Stegostoma tigrinum: one gene and its partner. The protein of the gene in region 2 interacts with the protein of the main gene of each other region in a pairwise test. Links are inferred from orthologs where the notes say so. Each region holds a gene or a part of one and is shown on either strand. Other genes may lie near its edges.

Evidence for each region. The genes of interacting proteins can lie anywhere in the genome.
Region 1: the proteins of nudt21 (region 2) and myosin light polypeptide 6-like interact in binary tests that used the Homo sapiens proteins (3 or more experiments, as listed by UniProt). The two-hybrid records come from large-scale screens. The link is inferred for Stegostoma tigrinum from reciprocal best matches to the Homo sapiens genes NUDT21 and MYL6.

What each region holds. Positions count from the first base shown.
Region 1 is NC_081404.1:1,493,734-1,501,400, forward strand, and holds the start of myosin light polypeptide 6-like, read right to left. Parts: upstream 3,007-7,667; 5' UTR 2,903-3,006; coding exon 2,900-2,902; intron 2,821-2,899; coding exon 2,793-2,820; intron 1,081-2,792; coding exon 937-1,080; intron 323-936; coding exon 149-322; intron 1-148. Other genes in the region: hat1 (histone acetyltransferase type B catalytic subunit), read left to right, coding at 6,049-6,055. UniProt on the Homo sapiens protein: Regulatory light chain of myosin. Does not bind calcium.
Region 2 is NC_081369.1:10,280,799-10,288,736, forward strand, and holds the start of nudt21 (cleavage and polyadenylation specificity factor subunit 5), read right to left. Parts: upstream 3,009-7,938; 5' UTR 2,867-3,008; coding exon 2,754-2,866; intron 1-2,753. Other genes in the region: amfra (autocrine motility factor receptor a), read left to right, coding at 7,850-7,938. UniProt on the Homo sapiens protein: Component of the cleavage factor Im (CFIm) complex that functions as an activator of the pre-mRNA 3'-end cleavage and polyadenylation processing required for the maturation of pre-mRNA into functional mRNAs.

The DNA of each region.
Region 1 (7,667 bases), on a different chromosome or scaffold from region 2:
TGCAGTAAAGTCACAGAAGAGTGAAGCAAAAACCATCCTGGGTCTGTCTTCATTTAACAAAATAAGATGCTCACAAGTGCTTTGTAACATTCTATAGAGTTTGGCATGGTTATATTCTAAAATGTGACCACAATAGATGAAACATTACCAAGAGTGACCAACACATGACGTAGCTCTGCACCCATGACTGTGCCATTGCCTTCTTTATCAAAGACACGCAGACCCTCAACAAAGTCTTCGAAAGTTCCTGGTTCCTTGTTTCTTGCAATGTCCTGAAGCTTGGGAAGGAACTGCTCAAAGTCCAATGTTTTCACATTCATGTCTGAAAATGGAAAAAGAAGTTTACTTCTGTCTTTGTTCCCCATTACTTTGGGTCACAGACATGCAAACTACCAAGTTGTTGCTGGGCAATCAATTAAGGAGACATGCTGGAATCCTGACAAAAAAAAAGAGCACAAAATGTCTATCCAATTAGATCAGCAAGATACAGAAAAAACCAAACTTTGGAACAAAAACTAAAAAAAGTTAACAAACCTATTCAATATGGATAAAGCACTTATTTTAATTATTTATCTAATTTCTTTGTTGAAAAGGTAATGGAATTGCTTCCAGAACTTTATCATGCAGCACACCACACCATAACTCACTATGCCAAAAAAAAAGTTTCTCTACTCAACTTCGTTTTACTAAAAAAAAATGCATCATATCATTACCAACCAGTGGACACAGAAGATGGGGAAAATCAATTGTCTGAACTCCACACAATTTTGAAAGCCTATTATCTTCAACCTTCTGCTCCAAGGGGGAAATCACCACTAGCTTCTGTGTATGACAGAATTCCCTCATCCTGTGCAAGTCACCTCAAAATCTTCTCATGGCTTAAAACATCCCCACTTTCCTAGCCCTTCCCTGATTACAGCACCTTCTGGTCCTTACCTTCAGGCTTTGGGTTCCCAAGGACTTTTAAGACTTCAGCATTGCATGGATTCTGGCCAAGAGCACGCAAGACGTCACCAAACTGGTTGTAGCCAATTTTACCTTCACCAATGCGGTCATAGAGGTAAAATGCCTCTTTGAATTCTGAAAAGAAAAAAAAAGTGTTACTCAAAGAATATGCAGCTTTAAACAGGCAAACAGAATCAAAAGGAGACAGACAGTCACAAGATTAAATTTTGAGAGATTTAGGACAGAGAAGAAGTTGAGTACACAAACAATCCTGAATACAAGCTTTTCTAGACAGACAATTGGTGGTCATAACAATGATTAGCTGTGGAGAGACAGGATGTCCCTGACTAGTCAAGGGCAGAATCTATTTGTTTAGAGTGTTAAGAAAAATTGAGACACCATCACAATACTGGCTATTCACCTAAAAATTGACCAGCCAACTAATGAGGAAAGACATGGGATAAGATTAGCAACAAAATCGCATGAAAGCAAGTTTTTTTTAAGATCAAGTTACAATCATCCCTACAAATCAATGCACATCTAAGAGAGGCGACAGTTAGGTGTGGTCAGAGAGACCAGGTCACTTAGCTTTGCAAGCTGCCACAATCAAAACGCAGGAGGGAGAAACATGATTCCAGTCCAGGAGATTGGCCTTATTTTGGCCAGGAGCAAGAATTGTCAGAACAGACCTATCTGCTGATCAAGGGAAACTATAAACTGAGGCAAGGCACCTTGAGACAGTCACTACATAGCAAACAAGAATACAGGAACCCCCAAGATGGGAGCTACTGTTGACTGTTCACTGAATTGCAATTCAGTGGAGAGCATGATGAGATAAATATAACTAGAATATTTTTCTCTGCAGTTTAAAAGTAAGTTGCCCACATGAAATAAAATGCTTGGCAAATACGAAGTCCTATTAAACTGCAGTAAGAGTTTCAAGACACTTTTCAGTTCAACTGGAAGCTTTCTGTCTCATGGAAATAATAACGTTGTGAATAGCAAGAACAGATGCTGGAGACAGTCAATACAGTGGAGGAAGCAGGTCAGGCAGCAAAGGGCCAGAAAAGTCGACGTTTCAGGCCGACCGCGCAGTTTCAAGTTTTCCAGCTAACACAAAGCTTGCACGCATTGTGAACGGTGGGGAGCCTTCGAAGCTAAAGGGACTGGTGAATTACGGTGGTGGTAGTGTCCGTACCTCGGGGGTTGGGGTAAGGTTGCTGAAATTAAACGCGATCAAGACTTTCAAAAAGAAATGAAGAACAATTGGAGGCCTGCGAGGGGTACGGGCCGAGCAATGGGACTGAGTTAGCTATGCCGTAACCAATGCACGAATGATTCATGCATTTCATGCTGTGTAAATACTTCAAGCTTTGCTTTTCTCAAGCAGTTATGAAGCGGCGAAGGAATGGATTAGTAAGCAACGCAAATTAATGCGAGGTAATCAAAACTTAGACGTCGTGGTCTGAATTTACAGCCAGGGAGATTGCTAAACCAGTAGACGCACTTGAGGAATGAGGGCTGGAACCAGGCTGTCGACAGCCGCGCTGAGCGAGAGGGATCTTTGTCCTTATTTGGAGTGAGCTTGTACTGTCAGTCTAGGGCGGACGGGGGAAGGAGTGAAAAGGCGCGGTTTCCGGCTTTCGTAGTAAGGAAAGCAAGGCCAGTTTTTTTTTTGGGGGGGGGGGGTCGTGCAAGGCGAGATCAAGGTGCATCTAGGCCTTCGTCAGTGACTTCTTGAGAGTTTTTCCTCCTCCACTGCGGGAGAATTAGCAAACTACTGCCGGTATAGGTTCAGGCTAAAATCCCTTCCCATAGCCAATCAGAAACTGAAGACAGAAACTTACCGGCGATCTGATCCTCGGTGAAATCACACTGCAAAAAGAGGAAGAAAAACAATGTTAGTTGTGGGGTGTGGGAGCCATATCCCACCATCAGCTACTCATTCACTCACCATCCTGTACTCCTACTGTTGCTCCAAGTCCACGTCGCTTGTTCCTTCTGTTTCTCTTTGTGATCTTCACACCGGATATTGACAGATCCTCCTCCAATCAGGGACCGCCCTTGTCGGTTTCTACACCGACCAATGGGCCGGCAGTACTTCTGGAATGACTGGTATTCTTATCCCTTCTCCGTCAAAAGCACAAAATGGCCAATTCCGTTTTTGGAAAAATGAATCTCCTGGAATTTTCAGCAAGTCAGACAGTACGAGAAAAAGAGGAGCCAAAGGTTTCAGGTTGATGGCCTTTCGTCGGAAGTATATCAGAGATGAACAGCCTCTAAATAAGTCATGAGGTAGGGAAAAGAATGGAATGAACAAAAGGCGAGAGGACAAGAGATAAAATGGATTAAATGAAACCAACCGAAGAATCACGAGCTAGCGTAGACCACTCAGCCCCCCGAGCCTGTTCTGCCAGTCAAAAAGATCATAAATGATCTGATTGTAACCTCAAACCCACTTCCCTGTCCACAATCTATCCCCCAACCCGCCCACAACCATCATATTTGACTTAAAAGCAAAGCAAATGGAGCTCATAATTGAAGACAGCTGTAAAACAAAAATTGTATATTGGCCACATGAAGTCACAACAGAATAGCAAACGACAAAAATAAAAATGAAAATGTAATTTTCTGAGCTAATTTTGGATTTCCAGCACCCAAAGTATTTTGTTTTCACAAAAGGCCAACCTGCAAAACAGAGAACACTCCTGTGGCCTGGGAAAATGACCAGGAAAGGCAGGTAGACCTTAAAGATAGAGAATCCCATCCGAAATAAGAACCAAAGTAGGCCATTCGGCCTCTCAAGCCTGCTCCTCCATTCAATAGAATCATGGCTGTTCCAGCATTTCTAACGTCCACTTTCCTGGCCTTTCCTCATAATTCTTGATTCCCCAACCAATCAATAATCTAACTATTTCAGCCTTCAATACACAACAGGTTTCCCCACAACTCTCTGTGGCAAGGAGTTCCAAAGACTCTCAAGCCTCAGAGAAGAAATTCCTCCTCATCTCAGCCTCTGTTTATTCTGAGACTATATCCTCTTGTTCTAGACTCTTCATAACGGGAAACATCCTCTTAACCTTTGCCCTGTCTAGTCCCCTTAAAAATCCCTACATGTTTCAATGGGATCACCTCTCATTCTTCTAAACTCCAGTGAGTAGAGTGCCAGTTTTATTTAACCTTTGTTCATAAGACAATCCCTCCATATTAGGGATCATCCTAGTGAACCTTCTCTGAACTGCCTGCAATGGAATGGTATCTTTCATTGAAAAGGGGACCAAAACTGCTTACAGATGTGGTCTCACCAGCACTTTGCACAGTTGAAGTAAGAGTTCTCTACTCCTATATTCCCCTTGAAATAAGGGACTACATTCCATTTTCCTTCCGGATTACCTATTGCACCTTCCTGTGTACTAGCTTTCTGTGCTTTATGCACAAGTACCCCACAAGGCCCTTTGCGTTGCTCCTTTCTGCAGTTTTTCCCATTTAAATAATACTGTTCTTTTGTTCTGCATTCCAAAATAAATAGCTTCACATTTTGAGATAGTAAGAACTGCATTTGCTGGAGTCAGAGATAACACATTGTGGAGCTGGAGGAACACAGCAGGCCAGGCAGTATCAGAGAAGCAGGAAAGTTGATGTTTCAGGTCAGGGCCTTTCTGAAGACCAGAAACATCAACTTTCCTGCTCCTCTGATGCTGCCTGGCCTGCTGTGTTCCTCCAACTTTACATTTCACACCTTATATTCCATTGCCCACTTACTTAACCTATCAATATCACTCTGCAAACTGTTTGCATCCCTTCACAACTTGCCTTTTCACCTATTTCAGTGTTGTCTTCAAAGTTGGCTACAGTAGATTGGCCTCCTTCCTCCAAATCAGTAATACATAAACAGTTGCAATCCCAGCACAGATCCCTGTGGAACTCCACTGATCATAGTTCACTAACCTGAAAAAGAGTCCGTTAAACCTCACTTGCTGTTTCCTGCCTGTGAGCCAATTCTCATATCCATGCCAATGTACTACCTCCAACATGGTAGAGTCTTATGACTTAACCTTTTTTGAGGTACCTTGTTGAACATCTTCTGGGAGTCCAAATACAACACATCTGCTGGTACTGCTGTATTTACTCTGGTTGAGACTTCCTCGAAAAATTTTCATGGATTAGTCAGGCATGATTTCCCTTTCACGAAGCCGAACTGACTATGCTGAATTAGATTATGAGTTTTGAAATGTTCTATTACTTCCTAAATAATTCATTCCAACATTTTATGAACAACACGTTAGCCCTCACTACTCATACACCAATGGAGCACCCCCACCCTCATACCAGCTATGGTATGACACTGCTCCAGCTATGTACCTAACAGTAGAGGGAAAGATGGACTTGGTGGTGATATCAGGCTTGAGGTAGCTCAATAGGTTCATATGCTACAAGAAAGCACAAAGGTATTACTAAATTCAGAGGAATTCTGACACCCTGGTATAGTACATCAATCTCGAGAAAATAACCTGAAGGTACATCAAGGAAGGCTAACTGAATTTTGGTCTTTATTCAAAAATAATTGAACACAAGAGTAAGGGACGTTTTATGGTAGCTGTACAGGACCACTCCTGGAGTACTGTGTGTGGTCTCCTTATACAAAAATTGATAATAACTGCATTAGAAACACTTCAAGGGACGTTCAGTCGACTCATTTTAGACATTAGAGTGTGAAGTAAGGTTAAATAGGCTGGGCCCCAGTCCACTGGAGTTTAGAAGAATGAGGGGTGATCTTATTGAAACATGTAAGATGCTGAAGGAACTTTACAAGATGCATACCGTGAGAGTGCTTCCTCTTGTGGAGGAAACAAGAAGCAAGGGTCATCATTTAAAGTTAAAGGCCGGAATTTGGATATGAATGTTGTTCAAGTTGACCCTCCCGGGCGGGGCCAGCGGGTGGGCGGGGTCTCCAGGTGGACCGCTCTGTGATCGACTTTCCCGCGCGCTGCCCTCAGTCACGTGCCGCGGTTCCAGACAGTACGAGTTGAGCATAGGCTCGGGATTGGCCTCGGCCTTTCTCTGTCTCGGGCCTGAGAGCAGTAGCGGCGCCCAGAGGCTGATATGGCGGGTGAGTGTATGCTGCGACTCGGCGGAAAAAAAAGCGCGGGCTGATGTCTTGGCGTGGCTGTTGATTCCATGACTGCGGCACTCTCGGATTCTGGGCCGAAACGAATTGGTCGTGGCAGTCCTTTCGTTCGAGACCGTGTCAATGTGTCAACTGGCCCTTGGTAATGGGGACTTGTCCCCCTCTGGTGATCTGTACTTGAATCGTTCACTGTTTAAAGTTAACTTATTTTCCCTTTTGGAATTAAGATTTCAATTTCCGGAGCGAGTTTATACCCCCGCCCCGCCCCGCCGTGTCTTTGCGTGTTCTAAAACCACTGAAGTAGTTTCGAAGCGTCCGCCGGCCAATTCGCAACAAGTCCGATAGTGTAATAATGATCGATAACTTCCAAATCGATTCCTTTGGGAAGGAGGAAATACTGGCGAGAACGCCCCCTCCCCCTTTCAGAAATGCTCAGATTTGGTGGAAGCAAGTGACTCCTGTTATGTGTGCTAGTGTTCCGGATTGAGCACGAGAAATGTTGGACAAGGACAGAGCAGCTTTGCCTTTCAAGCTGTCCCTTTCCTGCGTTGACTGTACATTCACATTCTTCCCTCACCCGCGCTCTTATAAAATAAAAGCGAAAAGATCCCTCAGGAACTGTCACCCTCCACCCCAGCTCCCCAATGGGAAAAGAGAGAGGACTCCTACATAGGGAGCATTGGGGATCTCTATCACCTGGTGGTAAATGGGTATGTCAAGACCCATTTCAGAAATGTCTTTGATGTAGGGGAGAGTGGTAATGGTTTCTGAGCCCGTTTTGTCTGTTTGTTTGGGTTTATTGCTGAGGAATCGGTGGACTGTGTTCGTCGGGTACCCATTCTTTCTGAATACGCTGTATAGGTGTTAAAACAGCAGCTAATGAACTTAAAAGACCCTATACAGACAACAAACAAAACGAACGTCATCTACAAAATACCTTGCAAGAACTGTGACAAACACTACATTGGACAAACTGGCAGAAAGCTAGCCACCAGGATACATGAACATCAACTAGCCACAAAACGACATGACCCACTATCACTCGTATCCTCACATACAGATGAGGAAGGACACCACTTTGATTGGGACAAGACATCCATCCCAGGACAAGCCAAGCAGAGACATGCACGAGAATTCCTAGAAGCATGGCATTCCAACCGGAATTCCATCAACAAACACATTGATTTGGAGCCCATCTACCATCCCCTGAGGAAAAGAACAGGAAATGACATCACCAGCCCAAGGAGACCTAACCAGATAAATAGAAAGCGGGACCTAACACCACCGCTTCGTCGGAGGCTCACTGATGATGTTACCAAGAATGGTGACGAAACGTCTGAAAACTAACCTTCCAGCTCAGCGAGCAAACTCATATCCAGAACCTCAACCTGAGCTACAAATCTTCTCAAAACTCGCTGGTTCTTTGTTGTATTATCAACTTGACATCTGTCATAGGCCACTTTCTCTGCTTCATTGTCTTCTCTATCTCTTTCGTCATCCAGGGAGCTTTGGATTTGTTCACCCTGTTTCCCATTTGCGGCAATGTACGTTGACTCTAACTTGAACCATTTCCTCTTTAAAGACACGCCATTGT
Region 2 (7,938 bases):
TATTGCAAACAAAATCAATAACTTCACACTTAGGTAAAGAGAACACAATAGCAGCTGATATGATGCATGGTATATTACAAAGCCTCTTCCTCTATTCTTACAGTTTCCCATATCTCAAAGTACAGTATCCAGCTGTAGAAACTGACATTTCAAAAGCACCCAACATGAGTTAATATAAATTCTGCACCTCAATATGCACAACAGCAATATATTTAAACAGAGGCTGACATCAGTGCCCCAGCTAAGGTCAAAGTCACAGTCACTGGAAGAAAAACGTTATCACATCACTATCAACAGATTAGTTAGACTGCAATCATTTAGATATTGGCAGGAAGAAGAGGTAATATTTTGTCATCATTCAAAAAAAAAGGTTATTCACTCAAAGGATTATGGCTTGAGATCAAGGACCCCTACAGAAATTCAGCTAGTGGCAAGTACAAATTGCAGTTTGGTTGCAACGTCATTCATGGGCATGAACTTCCAACAGCCATAAATGAATAAGCATTTCAGCAAGACATTTAATAAGTGGTAGTCCAAGTGCTTCCAGTTAGTGTGCTGTTGATCAAAAGCTTAACAGACTTGCTACATAAATACAGCAGCTGTAAGGGCAGGTCCAAGGTTTCTCACAGTCTGTTCACCATCTGTAAGTCAGAGTGTAATGGAATTTTTTTTAAAAAATCATTAACAAGATGAGGGTGTCGTGAGCTAGGCAGCATTTATTGCCAATCCCTAATTGCCCAGAGGGCAGTTCAGAGTCAACTACATTGCTGTGGTAATGGGAACTGCAGATGCTGGAGAATCCAAGATAATGAAATGTGAGGCTGGATGAACACAGCAGGCCCAGCAGCATCTCAGGAGCACAAAAGGTGACGTTTCGGGCCTGGACCCTTCCTCTGATGAAGGGTCTAGGCCCGAAACGTCAGCTTTTGTGCTCCTGAGATGCTGCTGGGCCTGCTGTGTTCATCCAGCCTCACATTTCATTATCTTACATTGCTGTGGGTTTGGAGTCACATGTAGGCCAGGCCAGATCAGGATGGAAGTTTACTGCCCCAAAGGACATTGGTAAATCAGATGGGGTTTTTCCAACAATTGACAACAGGTTCATGGTCATCACTAGATTCTCAATTCCTGATATTTTATTGAATTCAAATTCCACCACCTGTTATGGTGGGATTTGAACTCAGATCCCCAGAATGTTATCTGGGTCTCCGAATTAACAGTCCAGCAAAAGTACCACTAGACTATCACCTCCCCTTGTTCCACTTGCCTGGAATGAACAAAACCTCAATATGAAAGCAGATAGCCATCGTCTGAGATGGCGCGGATTACTTACTTGGTACCCATCAGATGCAAAGGTAGCAATGCATCCTTTGACTAAATCTTCAGAACCACTTCTACCACTTAGGAGAGCCAGGGCAAAGGATCACTTCTACGAGCGAAGTCTCACATCATCCTGACCTCAAGAGTAGGATAATAGGTCAGCACAACATGATGGGCCAAAAGGCCTGAACTGTTGCACAGCTTCTTCACTACCGCTGCATGCAAAGCTGAGAACTCCTATGCAAACAGCACTGTCTCAAGAAGAAAGAGGTTTTACAAACGTTCAAGGCAGTGGCTAAATCTCAAGAAGAAGAAAGGTTACACTCTTGAAAATTCAAATTGATAGTGCTGATTAACCTGCAAATGCCCAACTTTAGTTTATTGTAACAGTTTAATGTCTTCAGCATCAGTGGCTTGATTTGCATATACTCTCTCATTTACTGTTTTACAGTAAACTTAGGTACCCTGTAGACAATTTAATGCCATAATCTAGGAAACCTGAGTACCAAAAACACCACAGAAATAGCTGATATTAACAAAGCCTATCTATTCCACTAGAGCTGTTTGACAAGACTACATCAAGAATACACTTGACCACTTTACACTATAACAAACAAGTCAGCTTCACCGGAACATGTAGATTGGCCTCTAGGCCAGAGGTATTACCTGAATTTGTTTTTTCATATTTTTGTTTTTACTCAAGAATTCTAAATTGGTTGCAAAGTTCATGGATAAATTTGAAACAATCCTCTGAAACACAGCCATTTCACACTCTTTGTGAAAGTAACTTCCACTCATTTCATTGATATCCAATTAAATTTACTGGAGTAAGTCCAATAAACTATTTCCATTCATGAGCTCTCAAGTTACTAGGCTGAAGACACATGGCTAGATACCAACAAGTAATTCACGAGATCAGACAACTACAAAAACCAGTTCATGTCAGACAGACTTAAAATGAACAAAATCTTAATATTAAATCTGTACTTGAACGCTGGAACACCCCAAAAAAAAATGAAACTGCGGGGACCTGAAGCGAACATCCAGGACCAACCTCAACACATTATAACGATACAGATAACAAGGTGTAGAGCTGGACGAACACAGCAGGCCAAGCAGCATCAGAGAGGCAGAAAGAAGGGTCTAGACCCGAAACGTCAGCCTTCCTGCTCCTCTGATGCTTCTTCACCTGCTGTGTTCATCCAGCTCCACACCTTGTTATCTCAGATTCTCCAGCACCTGCAGTTCCTACCATCTCTGATACACTATAACGATAACTACTTCTGAAGGCAAGTCATTACTCAAATCCACACGGTATTCAAGAATTGGATTCCATCTGCAACTTTTTTAAAACTTTAAATATACTATTTTCAAGTTCACATGAAACTAGCTCGACAGAGGTATATACAGAATCCAGTGTATTGGATACTCACAGGTTGATGGTCCTCTCCAGGGTTAGCGGCTTTGCCTGCAGGTACTTATTCCCATATTGAGACACTCCGCGGGGCCAGCCCGCCTGCGAGCGGCTCGGCGGAACCACAGACATAGCAACAAGCTGATGAAAGGTACGGGACCCAGTGCAGCGTCGGGAACGGGTTCTCCCTCTCTCACACACACAAGGATCAACAAGGCCGCCTTCGCGCTTTAACCCGAAACCCACGTTTCCAGGTCAGGGAACACTTCCGGGTCAGGGAAACAACGCTCGGTAGGGGGCAGTATCGCAGTGTTGAGGGGCAGAAGGCTTGTCCTGTTCCTGAGTAAGTGGCAGAGATGTCAGTGCTGACAGAAGCATGTCCGGGAAATCGCTGAAAGGAAAATTTAAAAAAAAGCTGGCGATTACAGGGCCTCAAGCAACATCCGTGGAAATAAAGCAAGCTAATGATTCGAGTCTGGCTGACTCCTCCTCAGAGCTGAAGTGGTGGGGGGTGGTGTGGGGAACAGCGTTTACACAGCAGTTGGGGAGGAGGTTGCAGTGTAAGATAGGTCTCATTTTCGTAGCTTATCATTCGAAATACAGGCTTTTGTTCAGTGAGGGTTTGGCACATTCGGACGAAACTTGCAACCCTTTATTCTGGAATAAGCTGTTTTCGCAGGATCAAAGCACTCCTGGTAGAGACGCTGCATTATTGCAGTGATATCGTGCAGGTTAAATATTAAACCACAGCCTGCCCCAGGCGAAGTTTAAAAAAAACTTTAATGGTTATATCGCAAAGAACATATATAATACATGTTCCAAGAATTTTTTTTAAAAAAACTGTGCTGAATCAAACAAAACTATAAAACTAACAGTGATAATGGGAACTGCAGACGCTGGAGAATCCAAGATAACAAAATGTGAGGCTGGATGAACACAGCAGGCCCAGCAGCATCTCAGGAGCACAAAAGCTGACATTTCGGGCCTAGACCCTTCATCAGAGAGGGGGATGGGGTGAGGGTTCTGGAATAAATAGAGAGGGGGAAGCGGACCCAAGATGGAGAGAAAAGAAAATAGGTGGAGAGGAGAGTATAGGTGGGGAGGTAGGGAGGGGATAGGTCAGTCCAGGGAAGACGGACAGGTCAAGGAGGTGGGATGAGGTTAGTAGGTAGGAGGTGGAGGTGCGGCTTGGGGTGGGAGGAAGGGATGGGTGAGAGGAAGAGCAGGTTAGGGAAGCAGAGACAGGTTGGACTGGTTTTGGGATGCAGTAGGTGGAGGGGAAGAGCTGGACTGGTTGTGTGGTGCAGTGGGGGGAGGGGACGAACTGGGCTGGTTTTGGGATGCGGTGGGGAAAGGGGAGATTTTGAAGCTGGTGAAGTCCACATTGATATCATTGGGCTGCAGGGTTCCATCATGGGCTAACTGCGGTGCCACAATGATGCCACCCGAAGGTTGCAGGAACAGCAACTCATATTCCGCTTGGGAACCTTTGGGACACCCAAACAAGTTGTGAAACTGCAGGGACCTGAGGCAAGCACCCAGGACCAACGTCAACACATTATAATGATAATTATGACTGAAGGCATGTCATTACTCAGATCCACATGGTATTCAACATAGAGTTTCTATCTGCAACAGAAGGGTCAACGGACCCGAAACATTATCTGTGATTTTTCTTCACAAATGCTGCCAGACCTGCTGAACTTTTCCAGCAACTTCTGTTTTTGTTCTTGATTTACAGCATCTGCAGTTCTTTCAATTTTTAACCTGCTGATTTGTCTTCATTACTTGCTGTTGTGGTACCTTGTGTGAAAATTCTGTTTGTCTACGTGGATTGCATTCACTGAATGTGTAAGCTTATAATGTCCCTTAATGGTACTAAAGTGCTAATGTAACTCCTCCATTCCTGTGTTGTCCACTGCAGTGGGAACGATTTTGAATGGAACCATGGTTGCCTAGCAGACAATTGCCAAAAGATTCACATTTAATTACTTATCCATTAGCTCCAGACTGCCTCATGAATGTATCTTGGCCACATTACTCTTTCATCTTCTTTCATTGGATGTACTTCTCAGGTTGCTCGGTGAAATGTTTGATCTATCTCTCCCTGGTTCTTCCAATCAACTATCTTAGTCCTGTCACGTTGTTTGTCTAACAGTCAGCATTTCGAATTGCAATTGCATCCTGTTAAACTTAGGTAGACTGAAGCTATCATATCTTATTGTCTTTCCCAATCTCCATCCCTTAAGCCTGGCCATTGCCTATTTAAACAGACATCATATGTTCTACAGAACCAGTCGAAAGAAGAACTGGAGATTTTTTGCCCATCATAGTTAACATTTAGTATTCAGCAAATGAGAATATTCACCGTTGTATTTGCCTACATGATCAGAGCTACTGACATTCTGAAATTAATTTGTTATTTTTGTAGCATCTGGAATGTCCTTTGAATGTGAAAGGCGCTTTATCTTTTCTTCATATTTAGGTTTCACTTCCAAGAAGGCAGATTATTTGAACAAGTAATACAGATGATTACCATTACTGTGACCGGTCAGTTCATGTTTTGGAGTTGCCGCACACTGCATGATGGATTGTATCCTTTCTGCACAACTTAACTGTGATCTGTTGATTTCTTCATGATTCTTGGCAGATCTTGCAGGATCTTTTGGACGATCTCAAATAACCCCATAATAGGACCATGCACAGATTTCATCTTTCTGTTATAAATAGACCCCTTGAAGTACATATTTCTACTTGTCCAACCAAGGAAAGATATGAGCTGCACCAGCTCATTCATCCTCATTGACTCACACTGTGCTTTGGACTGAAGCTCAGTAATTATGTTCCCCCACTTTGTAATGGGTTCACAGGTTAGTGTTTGAAACATCAGAATGAGTAATGTAGACTAGTGTGCAGCACTAGCTTCAAGATCTCTTTTTTACTCATCGAATAGCTACATAAGCATAAGAAGAATGTAAGTTATCATGCTAGCTGCATGACTGGTACATCTGTGGTAATAAATGATGAGTTGATATTGAGGGTATGTTTTTTCTGCCAAAGAGTGATTAGATAGAGGCTTACAGGAACATTTCGGTCCTAACCCTGAGCTTGATTTAATCTAATTTCACCTTTCTCTCGATGCTGATAGTACAAATAATTTTGAATTTTGATTCTTCAAATGCACCCAAGAACTTTACATTTTAACATTCACTTTTCTTGGACATGCTTCCAACCGTGATTATGTTCTGTTAGAAAAAAAGGCAATTTTGACATTTGGCAGAAGCAATGACAGCAATACTCAAGTGCCCGATTGTTTATTTCATATTTCCTTGTGCACAGGTATTTTTCACCTGATTTATTGGAAGAATTATATGCGGACTTTTTAAATGTAATTATGACACAATTTCATGATGTCAGTTGCAGCTGGAAGTTATGTCCTTTGTTATTGCCCGTGTATGTTTGGAGGAGCTATGAGTTTGCTGTGTGCTTTTAATGAGAGCATTAAATATATAACATATCATAATCAAACACCTTGTCATTATTATAGTTTGCTCATCTACTTTAACAAAGGTAACACTGTAAAGTCTTATCCTGGCATATTTTCTCAGATCATCAAACCTTGTTTACGTCTGCTCCCATGTTTAGTAAACATTGGAGACATTGTAGAACCTTTTTCCAAGCATTCAGCACTGCTTATACAGAGATTCTGTAATGCAGGACTAACCCAAATAATCTAGATTTTGCCAGTGTCCATGAAAATATGCAGCATGGCAGCAACATCTGTGAAAGTAGAGTGTCCTTCCATTTTACCAGCGTACCAATTGTGAACAATCCACTTGTCCATCTCTCTGCTTGCCTCATTCTTTTTTTGCCTATTGTTCTTGCTTAATTTTTCAGTAAATCAATTCCTTCACCTCCTTTCTCTTCTATTTCCTTTCCAGTCTTCCTTTTCTTTCCATGCTCTTACATGGCCTTTCATTGATTAAACAGGGTTTTTTTTATAATTGTAGTTCCTATGTTCTGGGTTGGAGGGAGTTATTTGATTAATGTTTCATGAAAACATCAGTTAGTGGTTGCAACAGTCAAGAAAGAAATTTGAGCCTGGGCCATTGTGATAACAGAGATCTTGGGCCATCGAACAGCCAGGGAATTGGGAAATGATAGACATGGGAAGTGAGTTTCTGAGTAGAAAGGAAGTCTAAAGGTGGGATGGGATTTAGATGAAACTGAGGCTGGGCAAGATAGCTTTTCATCCATTTCCGGATTTACTATTCAAACAAGCTAATCTAGATTGGTGAAAACGGAAAGAAATGTGGAGGCTGTAAATCAGGAACAAAAACGGAAGTTGCAGGAAAAGCGGAAGCAGGTCTGCCAGCATTTGTGAAGAAAAATCACAGTAAGCCACAACAGTTCTGAGGAAGGGTCGCCTGACCCGAAATCCTACTTCTTCTTCACGGATGCGGCCAGACCTGCTGAGCTTTTCCCGCAACTACTGTGTTTGAATCCAGATTGGTGAGCATGTTAGGTGATGGGCAAACAGAACATGATGCAAGCAATCAGCGAAAGTTTGGATTGGTTTAAGTTCGAAGAGGACGGGATAGTTGAGAAGAGAAACTGTAATACTGAAAAACAGAGGACAACAGTATGGATAAGGGTCTCAGCAGCAGACGGCACGAGACCGGGGTGATGCCACCAGCAATGATGATTAAACCTATAATAACTACTTCAGAATATTATGAGCGAATTCTGTAACTCTAAGCTTAGTAAGGAATGCGTCAAAATGTATATTTGTTAATACCGTCCTCCAAAGAGCTGTTATTGATGACTGCAGGCATGACTAACTGACTCGGTAACCATGGAGACTATCTCCATGACAGTGCGATCCGACATCCCCGTCACTTCGGGAGGTTCTCCGTCCGGCGGCGTCGTCTCAGTACGTCACTTCCGGAGGTTGTTTCCGGCTCGCTCTCCCCCCATCCTGTGTGCTGACGTCACCGATATCGTTGGCTCGAGTTAGAACGGGACCGTTTCTGCGTGCCCGAGCGTTAACGGGAATCTCGGTGCCGTCTCAAGCCAGGTCACTGGGGTAACGGCAGCGCAGCCATCAGCTTCGCCATGCCGCTCCTTTTCCTTGAGCGTTTCCCCTGGCCAAGCTTGCGGACCTATACGGCCCTGAGCGCAGCGCTGTTGGCGATCAGCCTCTT